Linked DNA regions of Oryctolagus cuniculus. The protein of the gene in region 2 interacts with the protein of the main gene of each other region in a pairwise test. Links are inferred from orthologs where the notes say so. Each region holds a gene or a part of one and is shown on either strand. Other genes may lie near its edges.

Region 1 (7,290 bases), on a different chromosome or scaffold from region 2:
GCCACACGGGAGCGCTCCCTGCGGAACAATGAATGCCCAGCATTGTCTTGCCTTGGATCACGTGTTGAAGCACTCGGCATGTGAACATCTGTTCCCTGATGTCCCGCCTTTGTGGGTCTGTCACCCTCAAAATGAAAGTCCGGAACCCTCCCCAGGAACTTTAAAGTCCGGCTGGACGCTGAGCAGTGAACAGAGCTGGAGACAAAGGGAGAGGCGGAGGCTGAGACGCCGCGTTCGCCCTCGAATCCCGCCACTCGCGCCCGGCCGCCACCTGCTCGCTCTCCCTCCGCCGCCCGCTGGCCGGGCCCCAGGGAGGAGCTGCAGGGACAAACCTGCCGGAACTTGCCCCGGATCCTGTCCAGGTCCTCCTGGAGCCTCTCGTAGGCGGGGTCGTCGTAGGGGAACTGCTGCAGCAGGCCGATCAGCGACTCCAGGACTCTCCGCTTCCTGCCGCGAGGCACAGAACCACGTCGGTCCACCATGCCGGCCGCCTGCCCGACGCCCACAGGCGCTCCGACGCTGCGGGACACCCACAGACCCGGCAACGTGTCTCCCCCCTGCAGCAACTGTGGCCATAGCACCGTACGGGCCACGGCACTGCCCGGGCCACAGCTCAGCGGCTGTCCGGGGCACGGGGGCAGGGTGGCCGGGGCACACGCAGGTCCCTCTGCCTCTGGGACCTGTGGCTAACAGTAAGTCGCCCCCTGCACCCTGACGCCGTCACCACCGGGATGGGGAGCGCGGCGGCAGCCTCGCGGGGGACCCGAGGACAAATCCACCTCCGTGACACCTGCTCTGTCCCCAGGTGTGCCGTGAACGCCCCCTCCCCCCAGCTTCCACGGGCACTGGAGACCGGGGCCCTGAGGAGCAGCCCCCAGCCCTTGCTGGGCCACCCGCGTGGCAGTGTCAGGAGGAGCTGAGCCCCAGGACGGACCAACAGCAACACAGCGACAGGTCTCACGGGCTCGAGCTAACGGCTGCCACGGCCGACCAGCTACAGAGCTACCGTGGGGCCGGCGCTGTGGCCTAGTGGGTGAAGCCGCAGCCTGCGACACTGGCATCTCAGATGGGTACCAGTTCAAGGCCCGGCTGCTCCACTTCCCATCCAGTGCCTGCTAATGGCCTGGGAAAGCACAGGAAGACGCCCCAAGTGTCTGGAGACCCGGAAGAAGCTCCTGGCTCCTGGCCTCGGCCCAGCCCGGCCCTGTCTGGTGCGGCCATCTGGGGAGGGAACCTGCGGACGGAAGCTCTGTCTCTCTGCCCCCTGGGCTCTGCTCCGTGGCAGAGGGAAGGGCTGCGCCCACCGACTAGGCCAGGCCGCCGCCTCCCCTGGCCAGCTCACAGCGCGCGACAACACGGAAGGTGTTTTCCTGTCACTTGGAAAAACTAAAAGGAGACCCCTGTCCGCACCGCGCCCCTTAAAGATCAACCTGCTGATTTCTGAAAGGCAGCGAGAGCGAGAGAGCGAGCGAGCGAGAGAGAGAGAGAGGTCTTCCAGCTGCTGGTTCACTCCCCCCAAATGGCTGCGACAGCCAAGCCTGGGCCAGACACCAGCAGAGCCCGGCGCTCCACCCAGGTCTCCCACGCGGGGCCTGAGCCGTCGTCCTGCTGATTCCCTGCGCGGCAGCGGGACGCGGCGCCAGGACACCACAGAAAGACCGCATTGACCCACAGGCCACACCGTGCCGGAAGGCCTCAGGAAACAGAGCCCTGGCACTGCTGGCTGGGTGGGCGCAGCACAGTGGGCCCACGGGGCTCTCCTGAGCAGCCCCCACGCACCCGGTGACCCGGGAGCCCCGCCAGGGTGAGGGCTGGCAGCCTCCTGGCTGTGGGAACTCTTACACACATGCACACGTACACGCCCTCACGTGTGCACACACACACGCAGCACCCCGCCCCGGCCAGACTTGCCGCTGGGACAGCGGGGACAGCAGGCAGGGCCCTCCTCCTCCTGTGGACGGAGCCCAGAGCCCAGCTTGGCGCGGACTGCCACCCAGTGGCAGCAGGGCTGCACACAGCCGCCCACACGGCCCAGCCCCGCCCTGCACTCCCAGCCCTGGGGGAGTCCCCCAGGGTGAACCTGGGCCAGGACCCCCTCTCCCCAGCGGCAAGCCCCTCGCGCTGACCGTGAACACGGGCCGGCCCACCCCAGAAACTCAGGATGTGTCCACCAAGAGGTCGGTCACACGGACGGGTCACATGGACGGGACGTCGCCTTTCCTGCCTCCTGGTGCCCCTGCCGGCCAGGCCAGGCCACAGCGGGCAAGGAGGAAGTGCAGCCCAGAGCCGGGGACCACGGGAGGCAGCTTCCGAAGGCTGTGACGCCGCCCACGCGGCCACCCAGCACGTCCCAGAACCGCGCCCGGTGCGCTGCCTCGCTGCCAGGCTCGGCGGGCGGCGTGGGCGGGCGTTTGGCCTGCAGCAGAGGGCCTGGTCCGATCCCGCCGCCAGCCCCCGACCGCAGAGCTGTGCTAACGCGGCTCCCGGGGCAGCAGGGACGGCTCGCGCAGCTGGGTTCCTGTGGACAAGTCGGGAACAAATGGACGGGGCTCTCTCCACCTCTCTAAACTGACAGATCTAGAGGCGGGGCCAGCTTTGTGGCGCAGCATCCCACATGGGCGCCGGTTCAAGTCCCGGCTGCTCCTCTTCCCATCCAGCTCCCTGCTGTGGCCTAGGAAAGCAGTGGAAGACGGCCCGGGTGCTTGGGCCCTGCACCCACGTGGGAGACCTGGAGGAAGCTCCCGGCTCCTGGTGTCGGCCTGGCCCAGTCCTGGCCGTTGCGGCCACTTGGGGAGTGAACCAGCCAACGGAAGACTCTGTCTTTCCCTCTCTCTATCACTCTGTCTCTCAAATAAAATGAATATATCGAAAGAAAGAAAGAAGAAGGAAGGAAGGAGGGAAGGAAGGAGGGAAGGAAGGAAGGATTTAAAATAAATAAGTAAACAAAACCTAGCGGTGCGGGAGCCCCATTTCCGAGTGCCCACCACCCGGCGGCGGCAGTGGACGTCGGGGCGGGCCCACGAGAAGGCGGCACCCAGGAGCCACCTGGTATCGGTGCCGGCAAGGAGCAGATGGGCAGCACGGGGCCCCCGCGGCCACCGGCGCCCACCTCGCACACGCCCGACGCGCAGGCCTGGCCGCCCTCGGGCGGACACACAGCGGCTGCCAGGCCGCGCCCTCACCTGTCCTCGGCCGCACAGCCCCGCAGCAGGTGCCTCCACGCCAGGGCGAAGCCTCGATAGCAGCCGATCTGTGGAGCGGACAGCTGTGAGCGGGGCGGGGCCGGGAGCCGCGGTCAGCGGGGCGGGGCCGGGAGCCGCGGTCAGCAGGCCGACACCAGCGCAGCCCCAGCCCCAAGGCCCTGGCGTGTCCGGCCGCCCCCGCGGGTGGCCCACGGCCGAGCACCCAGGGCGGCTTCTCCCGAGTTCCGGACGATACTGGGCGCAACCGCCTGCTCCGTGGGGGCCAGCGTGGGCCGCGGAGGGCTCCTCTCCACCGACGCAGGCGCCCGTCTCTGGGCGGGAGCTCGGGACACCACTCGGGACACCGCACCCACGCTGCAAGCGGCTCCCTGCGGGTGCGACCCGGGCGGGGGCGCCGATGAGGGCCCCACCCGCGCGGGAGACCCGGATGCAGCCACCCGACGGAAGACCCGGATGGAGCCACCTGCACGGGAGACCCGGATGGAGCCACCCGACAGGAGACCCGGGAGGGGCCACCCGCGCGGGAGACCCGGATGGAGCCACCCGACGGGAGACCCGGATGGAGCCACCTGCACGGGAGACCCGGATGGAGCCACCTGCACGGGAGACCCGGGAGGAGCCACCCGACAGGAGACCCGGATGGAGCCACCCGCGTGGGAGACCCGGATGGAGCCACCTGCACGGGAGACCCGGATGGAGCCACCCGACAGGAGACCCGGGAGGGGCCACCCGCGCGGGAGACCCGGATGGAGCCACCTGCACGGGAGACCCGGATGCAGCCACCCGCGTGGGAGACCCGGAAGGAGCCACCCGACGGGAGACCCGGATGGAGACACCGACGGGAGACCGGGCGGCGCTCCAGGCCCGCGGCTCCAGCTGCTGCAGGCACGTGGGGAAGCTCCGTCGCCCCGCCTTTCAAGCCGAGGCCGTGGGCGCCCCCGAAACCCACGCGGCGGGGCAGAGGGAGGGGACGGCCCACGCTCACCTCGGCGCCGATCCTGGCTCCCTGCGCCGCGCCGTGGCGCCTGCCCTCGCGCACGCCCAGGCTGCTGCCGTCCTCGAAGCCTTCCCGGTAGCCCTGCCCGTGAAACCTGCGCGGAGAAGCCGGTCGGTCCCCCGAGCCCGAGGGGCAGGGCCACGCCCACGCGCAACGCCCCAGCGCCCACGGCCGCGGTGAGGGGTGGGCGACGTGGCCGAGCACCGAAACGCAGGGCGGCCCGGGGGCGCGCACCACCTCCGCCCGCGCCAAACGCACGCACGGGGACCCGGCGCCGCCCCCACCTGCGCCCCGCGCCCCCGGAGCCCCGGGGCGGCTGTGCCTGCTCAGCCGTGAAACAGGGCGAGGGCGAGCCGGCGCGCCGGACAAATGCCGGCGACAGGTGGTCCCGCGACCCCCCGCCCGCCTGTCAGCAAAGACATCCGCGGGCGGCCCCCAGCTCCGCCCGCCCCCGCCCCGGCGCCCCCCGGGGACCCCCGCGAGGAGACGGGGGCCGGCGGCGTCTGGCCCGGGTGTCTGCGGCCCCCAGATGGCCACGGCCCGTCCCCGCAGAGAGAGGGGCGAGCAGATGCCGGGGGCCGCCCCCGAGCGGGGAGGCGGGCCGGCAGCCGGCCCCGCACGCACCTCTCATCCGCCATCACAATGGCATCGAACACGTCCTCGCTCCCGGCCATGGCGCCGACCGGGCCGCCCCCGCCCGCCGCCGGCCGGCCCCGGGGACCGCGGACACGAACGCGCGCGCCGCTCCCGCGGAGGCAGCGAGCCCACTTCCGGCAGCGGCCGCGCGGGGCAGGCTGGGTAAGGACGGCGCGCGGGAAGGGCCAGATGGCGCGCGCGCGTGCGCAGTGGGCCTGCGCCGCCCGCTCCGGTCCGCGGCGTCCCGCCCGCTCGGTCGCGCGCGGCGGCGGTGGCTGCGGCGGCTCCCGTGTGGGATTTCTTTTTTTTAAACCCAAGCAGATGAAACCGAGTCGCCAAAAAGTGGCCCGGGAAGGAGGAGACAGGAAAGGCGGCCCGAGCGCCTACTCCTCAGGGCGCTCCGCCTGCGGCCTGTGGGGCGGGGGGCTCCGAGACCCTCCCCTCCGGCGGCGAGACGGCCGGGCCGAGCCCGGAGCTCCGTGCGGGTCTCCCACGCAGGTGCACGGCCCGGGGACGGGGGTCTCCCCAGGTCTGAGCCGCTGCGCCCACTCAGCCACGCCCTCCCCGGTCGCCCTGGGGCTGCGGTCACCTCGGGGGACCTTGGCCTGTTCGAAGTGTGGAGCGAGCCTGCCTCTGCCCCCCGGGAAAAGCCAGGCCAGGCCCCAAGGAGCAGAGTCCCCCCCGCTGACCTCTCGGCAGGACCTGTCCGAGCCGGACCCGCGGGCGGCCCTGCGCCCAGAAGAAGTGCGTTCTCCAGCCGGCTCCTCGGGCGCTCGGGAGGCCCCCGGGCGGGCGGGCGGGCGGGCCTTGCGCTGTGACCGTGACCTAGGGCTGAGCTCCGGCCTGGCCGCAGTAGTGGGGGGGGGGGCCTTGGCCGTGCCCTAGGGCCTGGCTGCAGTGGGGGGGGGGGGCTTGGCCGTGCCCTAGGGGCTGGTCTCAGTGGGGGGGGGCCTTGGCCGTGCCCTAGGGCCTGGCCGCAGTAGGAGGCTGGGGGCCTTTGCCGTGCCCTAGGGCCTGGCCGCAGTGGGGGGGGGGGGCTTGGCCGTGCCCTAGGGGCTGGTCTCAGTGGGGGGGGGCCTTGGCCGTGCCCTAGGGGCTGGCCGCAGTGGGGGGGGGGCTTGGCCGTGACCTAGGGCTGAGCTCCGGCCTGGCCGCAGTGGGGGGGGGGGGGGCTTGGCCGTGCCCTAGGGGCTGGCCGCAGTGGGGGGGGGGCTTGGCCGTGCCCTAGGGGCTGGCCGCACGGGGGGGGGGGGGAGGCTTTGCTGTGCCCTAGGGCCTGGCCGCAGTGGGGGGGGCTTTGCTGTGCCCTAGGGGCTGGCCGCAGGGGGGGGGGGGCCTTGGCCGTGCCCCAGGGCTGAGCTCCGGCCTGGCCGCGGCCTGTGGTCCAGAGCCGAGCTGCTGGCCGGACTGCGGGCCCAGGCTGAGTTTGAGCGTCGTGTTGGGGTCGTCTCCGTCCAGGGAGGGACCAGGGGACCACATTTCTTTCCAGAGCAGGCCCAGGGCCCGCGTGTGGCTGGACGAGGACCCACCCTGGCCGGCCAGGCAGGACTCACCCTGGGGTCCTGACCCTCAGCGCCCCCAGAGGGCGGGGGGGGGGAGCACAACAGCCCCACCTCCTCGGACAGACGGCCCCCGGCTCTGTTCCTCCCGGGGCAGGGGAGCCGCCTCCCTTCCACCCGCGGGCTGCAGGGCTAACCCGTCCCCAAGGCTGGGGTCTCCAGGGCAGCAGGGGCGGGCGGCCCCCCTGCCAGCTTCCTCCTCCAGGCAACGTTGGTGAGCTGCGTCCTCCCGCACCTCAGTTTTCCCGGCTGTGAAATGGGCGGAATCCTGGTGCCCACGAAGAGGGATGGACACTGACCGTGCGGGAAATAAACGCACCGGCGAGTGTTAGGAGAGTAACTGACACCTGAGCACCGGGTTGGGGGCGGGACAGCACCCTCCTCCCACGGCTCCCCCGCCCCAGGCTGCAGGCACGTGGTAGGGGCTTTGAAGGCGCCCACTGCCCTTCCCCTCCCGTCTGCGAGCGCGCAGGTGGGTGCCGCAGACGAGATCGCGCAGGGGGCCCGCCGGAGCCGGCGGCGGCTGCGTTTGCCCTGTGCGACCCCACGGCGGCCAGCACATGGAGCCCACCCGGGCCGGGGACACCCGGCTGCCGGCCTGGCGCACGCCTTCCCGCCTCCCGCCAGCGGGGGGCGCCCGTGCGCCGTGTCCAGGCCCACTGCGCGGCCTGGGCTCAGCGCCCCTCCCTCTCGTGGGTGTCAGGGGCCTGGGGGGGACACCCTGGGAAACCCCACTTCCCCCAGGCTGATCCTGGGCTGGGGGCGGGGCTTTGAGAATTTCACAATGAACTTTATTTTGGTACAAAAGACACGTGGACATCCATGCATGGTTTGTTCGTGAGACGCATTCCTCGCGTGTTCAGGGAGGCCCCACGCGTGACGGCCGGGCCCTGGG
Region 2 (7,299 bases):
TTGGTGCAGCTCCAGCCATTGAGGCCATCTGGGGCGTGAACCAGCAGATGGAAGACCCCTCTTTCTCTCTCTACCTATGTCCCCTTTTCTCTCTGTGTAACTCTGACTTTCAAATAAATAACTAAATCTTTAACAAAAAAAAAAAAAAAAAAAAGAAAGAAAGAAAAAAGAAAAGAAAAGGGCTACAACTTGGAGACAGATGAGAAAAACTAAAAACTAGTTTGCTTTTTAAGGACAGCTACTAGAGATTCTCAGTCTTGGGTATACATTGGAATCATCTGAGCTTTTTTTTTTTTTTTTAAAGATTAATTTATTTATTTGAAAGGCAGAATTAGAGAGAGGCAGAGGCAGAGAGAGAGAGAAGTCTTCTATCTGCTGGTTCACTCCACAAATGGCAGCAATGGCTAGAGCTGCACTGATCTGATGCTAGGAGCCAGGAGCTTCTTCTGGGTCTCTCTTGCAGGTACAGGGGTCCGAGGACTTGGGCCATTTTCTACTGCTTTCCCAGGCCATAGCAGAGAGCTGGATTTGAAGTGGAGCAGCTGAGACTTGAACTGCTGCCTTCATGGGATGCTGGCACTGTAGGCAGCAGCTTTACCTGCTTCGCCACAGTGCTGACCCCTTGAGCAGCTTTTAAACCTATGGAGGCCCAGGTTGCACCCCAGACCAATTATAGTTGCTTATCATCTACACTGAAGGCTAGTGAAAAAGAATTTTAAAGATATTTCATTTTTTCAGGTTTGTTACAGAGTAGGTTATTGTTTGATGGATTATAAACTATTTTCTTGAAAAAGGTAAAAATTCTTCTAGTCCTATTAGATTTAATATTTTCTTTACTTTTACTTTATGGTCAAATTTTTTTTAAGTATTTCAGATTGTTCAGATAATCATGTCATAAAATAGCGGTTGTTATGAAAAGTAATGTTTTACAAATGGAATTGATTGATATACAAAAATTCAGGGGCTGGCGCCGCGGCTCACTAGGCTAATCCTCCACCTTGCGGTGCCGGCATACCAGGTTCTAGTCCCGGTCGGGGTGCCGGATTCTGTCCTGGTTGCCCCTCTTCCAGGCCAACTCTCTGCTGTGGCCCTGGAGTGCAGTGGAGGATGGCCCAAGTCCTTGGGCCCTGCACCCCATGGGAGACCAGGAGAAGTACCTGGCTCCTGCCATCGGATCACTGTGGTGCCGCGGCGGCCATTGGAGGGTGAACCACTGGCAAAGGAAGACCTTTCTCTCTGTCTCTCTCTCTCACTGTCCACTCTGCCTGTCCAAAAAAAAAAAAAAAAAAATTCAGCAGTGGGGCTGGCACTGTGGTACAGCAGGTTAGGCCAATGCCTAGGATGCCCACACCCCATGTTGTAGTGCCATTTGCAGTCCCGGCTACTCTGCTTCCAATTCAGTTCCCTGTGAACGTGTTTGGGAGGTGGTAGATGATAGCTCAGGAGCTTGAGCTCCGGAAACCTATGTGAGAGACATGGATGTGGTTTCTGGCTCCAGGCTTGTTGCAGTCATTTGGGGAGTGAACCAGCAGATGGTAGGTACATCTCTGTCTCTTTCACACTGCCTTTAAAATATATAAATGAATAAATATTTAAAAATTCAGCAGTAAGCTAAGCTTATAAAAGATTAATTTAACTTGATGTGAAGATGAACACTTGATCAATATCCTACTATAGTATACTAATTCTAGTTTGTGACTTAATTAATGAATTAAAATTAATTCTAGTTCTAGTTGACTTTTCTAAAATGCCAAACACAACTTTTTGCTTTGTTTTACTAATTTTTTAGCTTCTAAAATTATTAGTGATTCTTTAAAGCAGCTTTCTCTCCAGAGGACAGCTTGAAAGGTATAAAGCAGGAGCTGGCATTGTGGTGTAGCAGGTACGGCTGCCATCTGCAATGCCTGCAATCCACAGGGGCATGGGTGCCGGTTCAAGTCCTGGCTGCTCAATTTCTGATTCTGCCCCTGGCTAATGGCCTGGGAAAAGCAGTGGAGGATGGTCCAAGTGCTTTGGCCCCTGCTAGACATGTGGGAGACTGCAAGAAGCTCCTGGCCTCGGCCCGGCTAGGTGCTGGCTGTTGTGGTCTTCTGTGGGGATGAACGAGAAGATGGAAGACCTCTCCACCTCTCTCCCCCTCTCTCTCTCCCCCTCTCTTTAACTCTGCCTTTTAAGTAAATAAATAAGTTAAAAACAACAGTCTAAAGCATCAAGGAGGACAGACCTGTCAGGTCTTAGCTCCATCTGATCATTTGGTTCTGCCATATGCTGTTACTGCCCTGGCTTCCCGACAGGTATTCAATGTTAAGGACTACAATACATGGAATCATTTTACCTTTATTACTCACTACAATTTCCATCTACTTCTAGTTTAGAGGTCTGTCATATTGGGTTCTGCCAAATGTGCAAGTACTAAAAGTTTTATTTAAAGCCTGAAGATCTTGTAATTAGAGACTGGCAGTAATTCTGGTAGCAAAGAGTACACACCCTCTTACTGTTTCCATGCCCAAAAAAGGGACAACAGCTGGCTCACATATTAAAATGGATGAGCTGATAATGATTTTTACTCTTTGAAGGCAACATTCTATGTTTTTCCACACTCTTGTGTATTCAACAGCAGAAAGAAGCACTTTAAATGTTTATTTTTAATATTCATAAAAATCATCCTGTAATATTAAAGATTCAGCATTTAAATTTCTGAATTACCTCAGTGTTCCTCTGAGTTCTCCATAGTTTACAATGATTGCTGCACCTTCTTTATAGCCTTGATTGAAGCCCTGTTGAAGAGCAACTGCTTTGCCAGCATCGATTCCTTCTCTATAGCCTTCCTAAAAATAAGCAATGAACAACTACAGTTGTAACTAATACCAAGTGAACCATATGTAGGCTTTTCTAGAAAGGCACAGACCCAATTTAGAAAACTGATGAAACTGGCTTTTACTGCATTCTTGAAAATAATATGGTATAGCCCCACAAGCAATGCAGGTTATGTTCCTCATAAAAATTTATTACCGGTTTATTGTTCCTTATCCCACTTTTGAAGTGTGTTCTCACCCAGTTTTTAACACCTCTGTTTTAGCAATGTCTTCACAGAAAGGAAACATGGAAACTTACATGTCTGGCCCTCTGGCAACTGAGTGGAAAGGTGTGAGTGGGTGAGGAGACAGAACAAAGTAAGGAAAGGCAAAACTGTTTTAGAAGGAAAGTGAGAAGCCTGGTTTTAGAAATTTTGCTTGATCCTGAAATCCAAGTAAATTCTCTGTGGACAGAAACTTTGTTCTGCATGTCCCAAGTATGTCACAGTACTCAAAAGATGCTTATTATTGGGGCCAGCACTGTGGAAAAGGGGGTAAAGTGGCTGCCTGCAGTGCTGGCATTCCATACAGGCTCTGGTTTGAGTCCTCGCTGCTCCACTTCCGATCCAGCTCTCTGCTATGGCCTGGGAAAGCAGTAGAAGATGGCCCAAGACCTTGGGACCCTGCACTGGGAGGAAGCTCCTGGCTCCTGGCTTCAGATTGGCCCAGCTCCAGCTGATGGGGCTTTTTGGGGAGTGATCCAGCAGATGGGAGACCTCTCTCTCTCTGCTCTGTAACTGTAACTTTGTCTTTCAAGTAAATAAATAAATTCTGAGAGAGAGAGAGAAAGAGAGAGATGTGGCAGTATTGACTGGTCCAGCCTTAGCGTCACATAAAACTTTTTGTAACTGACAACGTGGTTGCTGAACTAAGCAAATATTGTTTTGCTGAAACATTAATTTGGGGCAGATCCCCAATACAGCTTTAGGAGCAATTTAATGGCTGGCAAATATAGTAAGTGGAAGCAACCCCCACCATTTAGTCTTCACCCAGTACTAAGCTCTGAGTACTCCATCTGGAAATTACGCTTAGACTCAACAAATAAAATTAGACATGAATAATTCACATCCAACAAATAAGAAGAAAATTGGTTTTAATATTCCCTTACTTGGTCATCAGTATTCCATCTTAGCTTTCTCCTACTGCCTTTTTTTTTTTTTTTAATATTTACTTGTTTGTTTGAAACGCAAAATTACAGAGATGCAGGGGCAGAGAGAGATCTTCCATCAGCTGGTTCATTCCCAAATGGCTGCAACTGCTGGAGCTGAGCTGATCCGAAGCCAGGAGCTTTTTCTGGGTCTCCCACGTGGGTGCAGGGGCCCAAGGACCTGGGACATCTTCTACTGCTTTCCCAGGCCACGGCAGAGAGCTGCTCAGAAGTGGAGCAGCCGGGACTCGAATCAACTCCCATATGGGATTCGGGCACTGCAGGAGGTGGCTTTACCCGCTATGCCACAGCCCCGACCCCTCTCCTACTGCCTTTAACATTGTAAAGTTCACTTTTTTCGTGTATCTTGGTTAAAACACTCCTAACTCTGGGCTCCCCACCCACTCAAGCTGCCCGTGGAAGCCTGAATGCGCGTCCTTTGACAGCCATAATCAGCAGTCAAGTAATCACTGTATTGGTATGTCTCTCCCCCACCCACTTCCCTGTGATCATCATCAGACAGCAATCGCTTCCAAGTGTGGACAACATGTGTTTTGGTGGGCGTCCCGCTTCTCCAACGCCCTCCCGCAAGCGCTCAAACAACGCGTCTCTGGGGTTCACCCGCTTCCAAGCAACCCACTGGGAAATCCTGGCGGGACGCGGGGCGCACCGCGTGGCAAAGGGTAAGGACGGCGGCGCTAGCCAGACTGGGACCACTGGGACCACGGTGGGCCCGGCTTCTTCACAAACTCGGGGCTCCGCTCCACCACAGCCCGGCACCCCCCGGGGTCCCCGCACCCTTCCCACCCCCCTCCCCCGGCTTTACTTTCACTCGTTTCTGCATGTGACTCCGCCATTCCCGCTGTACCAGGAGCGACTCGTCAGCTTCCTCATCAAACACGTCCCCCTCCTCGGCCGGGCTCTGGACCGAGGGGGTAGCCCGAACCCACGACATCACCGAGATGGCTACGGAGCCGCAGGCAACAGGAAACACCCGCGACTCCTTCCGGTGTGAGGGGCGGGACGAAGACTGCGCTCCTGGCGCTCAGGGCGGGTGCGCGTGCGCCGAGGCGATCCGTCGTGGTTGCGGGCTGTCCAGCCTGACGTCCAGAGCTTTTGGACTCGCGGACTTTGGGACTAAGTCAGTTAACACAGTGTGTCCGTGTGCACCTTGATTCCTTCCTCGGCTGGGGCGTGACCTTGATCAGACCCCGCATTCCTGTCGTAGACTGCAGTGTTCTGGGTGTGGGAGAGGCTCCTTTTGTAAAATCACTCAAGGCGGTTGAGCCAGTACTGCCCAAAGACTGTCTCAGAATCTCAGCGTGTTCAGGGGACGTGACAACCTGACACGGATTGATTGTTAGGAGCTTGGAGCAAAGAGCAAAAGAGTCAGAGAGTGAACTACTGCGGCCCATTTGAGATCAATAGGAAATAGAAAGGTTGCCTTTGCCATCGATACATCTTCCTTGATTCTCAGTATCCTTCGCTGCCTTCCACTCTTGCTCACGTGCGCTAAATGCAAACTGTGATCTTGGCGAGGGCGGGAACTTGTCTGCCCCAGCACCAGCAGGTTCTGACACTGCAGGTGAAAGCACCCCAGTGGCATCCCGTTTTGCCTTTGTTTGTGTGGGTAAATGAGTCCTGTGACAGTCGTGGTTTGTTTGTCTTACCTTTTCTTGAATACCTGTGTGTCTGGATACATTAGTGAATAAAACAGATAAAAGTTCCTAGCCCTTTGGATTTTATTCCTGTAGAATTTGCAGAGCACACACAGCAAACAAATATGAGTAACTTAGGTAGTTTGAAGATTATAAATAATAAATGTTATGAAACAAATTTAAAACAAGTAAAGTAAAGGGAATCCTGAGTGTGTGTGTGTGTGGGGGGGCGAGTGGATGGTGCAGGCTACAGATTTAAATTTTAGAATTTTGCATCTCACAAATATATAACCTGTAAAAGGCATATATTAAGTAAACTCTTAAAAATGTATTTGTTAATTAGAAACAAAATGGCAATAAAGGAATCAATAAAAACAATTGAATAACGTTGACTAGCTGAGCGCATTTAGCCTAGTGCGTGAGATGCTAGCCTCCTGCATTGGAGTGCCTTCATTAGAAGCCAGCCTCTCACTTTGTTTGGAGTGCCTGAGTTTGATGTGCAGCTCTGACTCCTGACTCCAGCTTCCTGCTAATGCAGACCCTGGGAAGCAGTGGTGATAGCGCAAGTGGGTTCCTGCTGCTCACATGGGAGACTTTGATTGCCTTCCCAGCTCCCAACTTTGTCCAGCTCCAGCCTAGATTATCACTGGTATTTTGGGAAGTGAAGCAGTGCCTAGGAGCTCCCCCTCTTTGTCTATCTCTCAAATAAAATTAAAAAATAGAAAATCTTTTTTTGAAAAGATTTATTTATTTGAAAGTCAGAGTTACACAGAGGGAGGAGAGGCAGAGAGAGAGAGAGAGAGAGAGAGAGAGAGAGAGAGAGAGAGTCTTACATCCGCTGGTTCACTCCTCAATTGGCTGCAACAGCCAGAGCTGCGCTGATCCGAAGCCAGGAGCTAGTAGCTTCTTCCGGGTCTCCCACGAAGGAACAGGGGCCCAAGCACTTGGGCCATCTTCTACTGCTTTCCCAGGCCATAGCAGAGAGCTGGATTGGAAGTGGAGCAGCCGGGTCTTAAACCGGCACCCACATGGGATGCCGGCGCTTCAGGCCAGGGCGTTAACCCACTGCGCCACAGTGCTGGCCCCCCAAAATAAAAAAATCTTAAAAACTTGCAAAAATAAATCTAAAAATTGATTCTTGGAAAAAAATCAATAAAATAGATAATCTTGATGTGGTTTTGATTTTAAAGGAGAAAAAGTATAAGATAGGAGTAAAAGAAGAGGCAACCACTGATGTAGAAAAAAAAAGTATTATAAACTACCCACTGAAACTCAGGAGAAATACATTTGAAAATCTAAAATAAATGAATAACTTCTTAACACAGTTGACCCAGGAAGTAGAAAACATGAAGAAACAAATTACTATACAAAAACTGGGATTCAGTCTCTACTATAAAGAACAGGATGGAGACTTAACAGTTTCACAGCTGAGTCTTTTTTAATATTTAAAATATGATAGATAATTTAATATTTTTCTGTTTTAGAGCAGAGAAAATGATAGTAAATTCCTGAATCATTTCATGACACCAGGCTTACTGTAACCTGACAAAGATGGTTAAAAAAAGAAAAAGCAAGCAAACAGAATCAAAAGGCCAGGGACCAGCATTGTGACATTGTGGCATTGTGGATTAAGCTATTA

The links. The genes of interacting proteins can lie anywhere in the genome.
Region 1: the proteins of YAE1 (region 2) and LTO1 interact in binary tests that used the Homo sapiens proteins (3 or more experiments, as listed by UniProt). The link is inferred for Oryctolagus cuniculus from reciprocal best matches to the Homo sapiens genes YAE1 and LTO1.

Annotation. Positions count from the first base shown.
Region 1 is NC_091432.1:3,227,250-3,234,539, reverse strand, and holds the start of LTO1 (protein LTO1 homolog), read right to left. Parts: upstream 4,958-7,290; 5' UTR 4,875-4,957; coding exon 4,825-4,874; intron 4,295-4,824; coding exon 4,189-4,294; intron 3,251-4,188; coding exon 3,183-3,250; intron 520-3,182; coding exon 333-519; intron 196-332; coding exon 127-195; 3' UTR 1-126. UniProt on the Homo sapiens protein: The complex LTO1:YAE1 functions as a target specific adapter that probably recruits apo-ABCE1 to the cytosolic iron-sulfur protein assembly (CIA) complex machinery. May be required for biogenesis of the large ribosomal subunit and initiation of translation.
Region 2 is NC_091447.1:29,675,296-29,682,594, reverse strand, and holds the start of YAE1 (protein YAE1 homolog), read right to left. Parts: upstream 5,026-7,299; 5' UTR 4,958-5,025; coding exon 4,829-4,957; intron 2,829-4,828; coding exon 2,707-2,828; intron 1-2,706. UniProt on the Homo sapiens protein: The complex LTO1:YAE1 functions as a target specific adapter that probably recruits apo-ABCE1 to the cytosolic iron-sulfur protein assembly (CIA) complex machinery. May be required for biogenesis of the large ribosomal subunit and initiation of translation.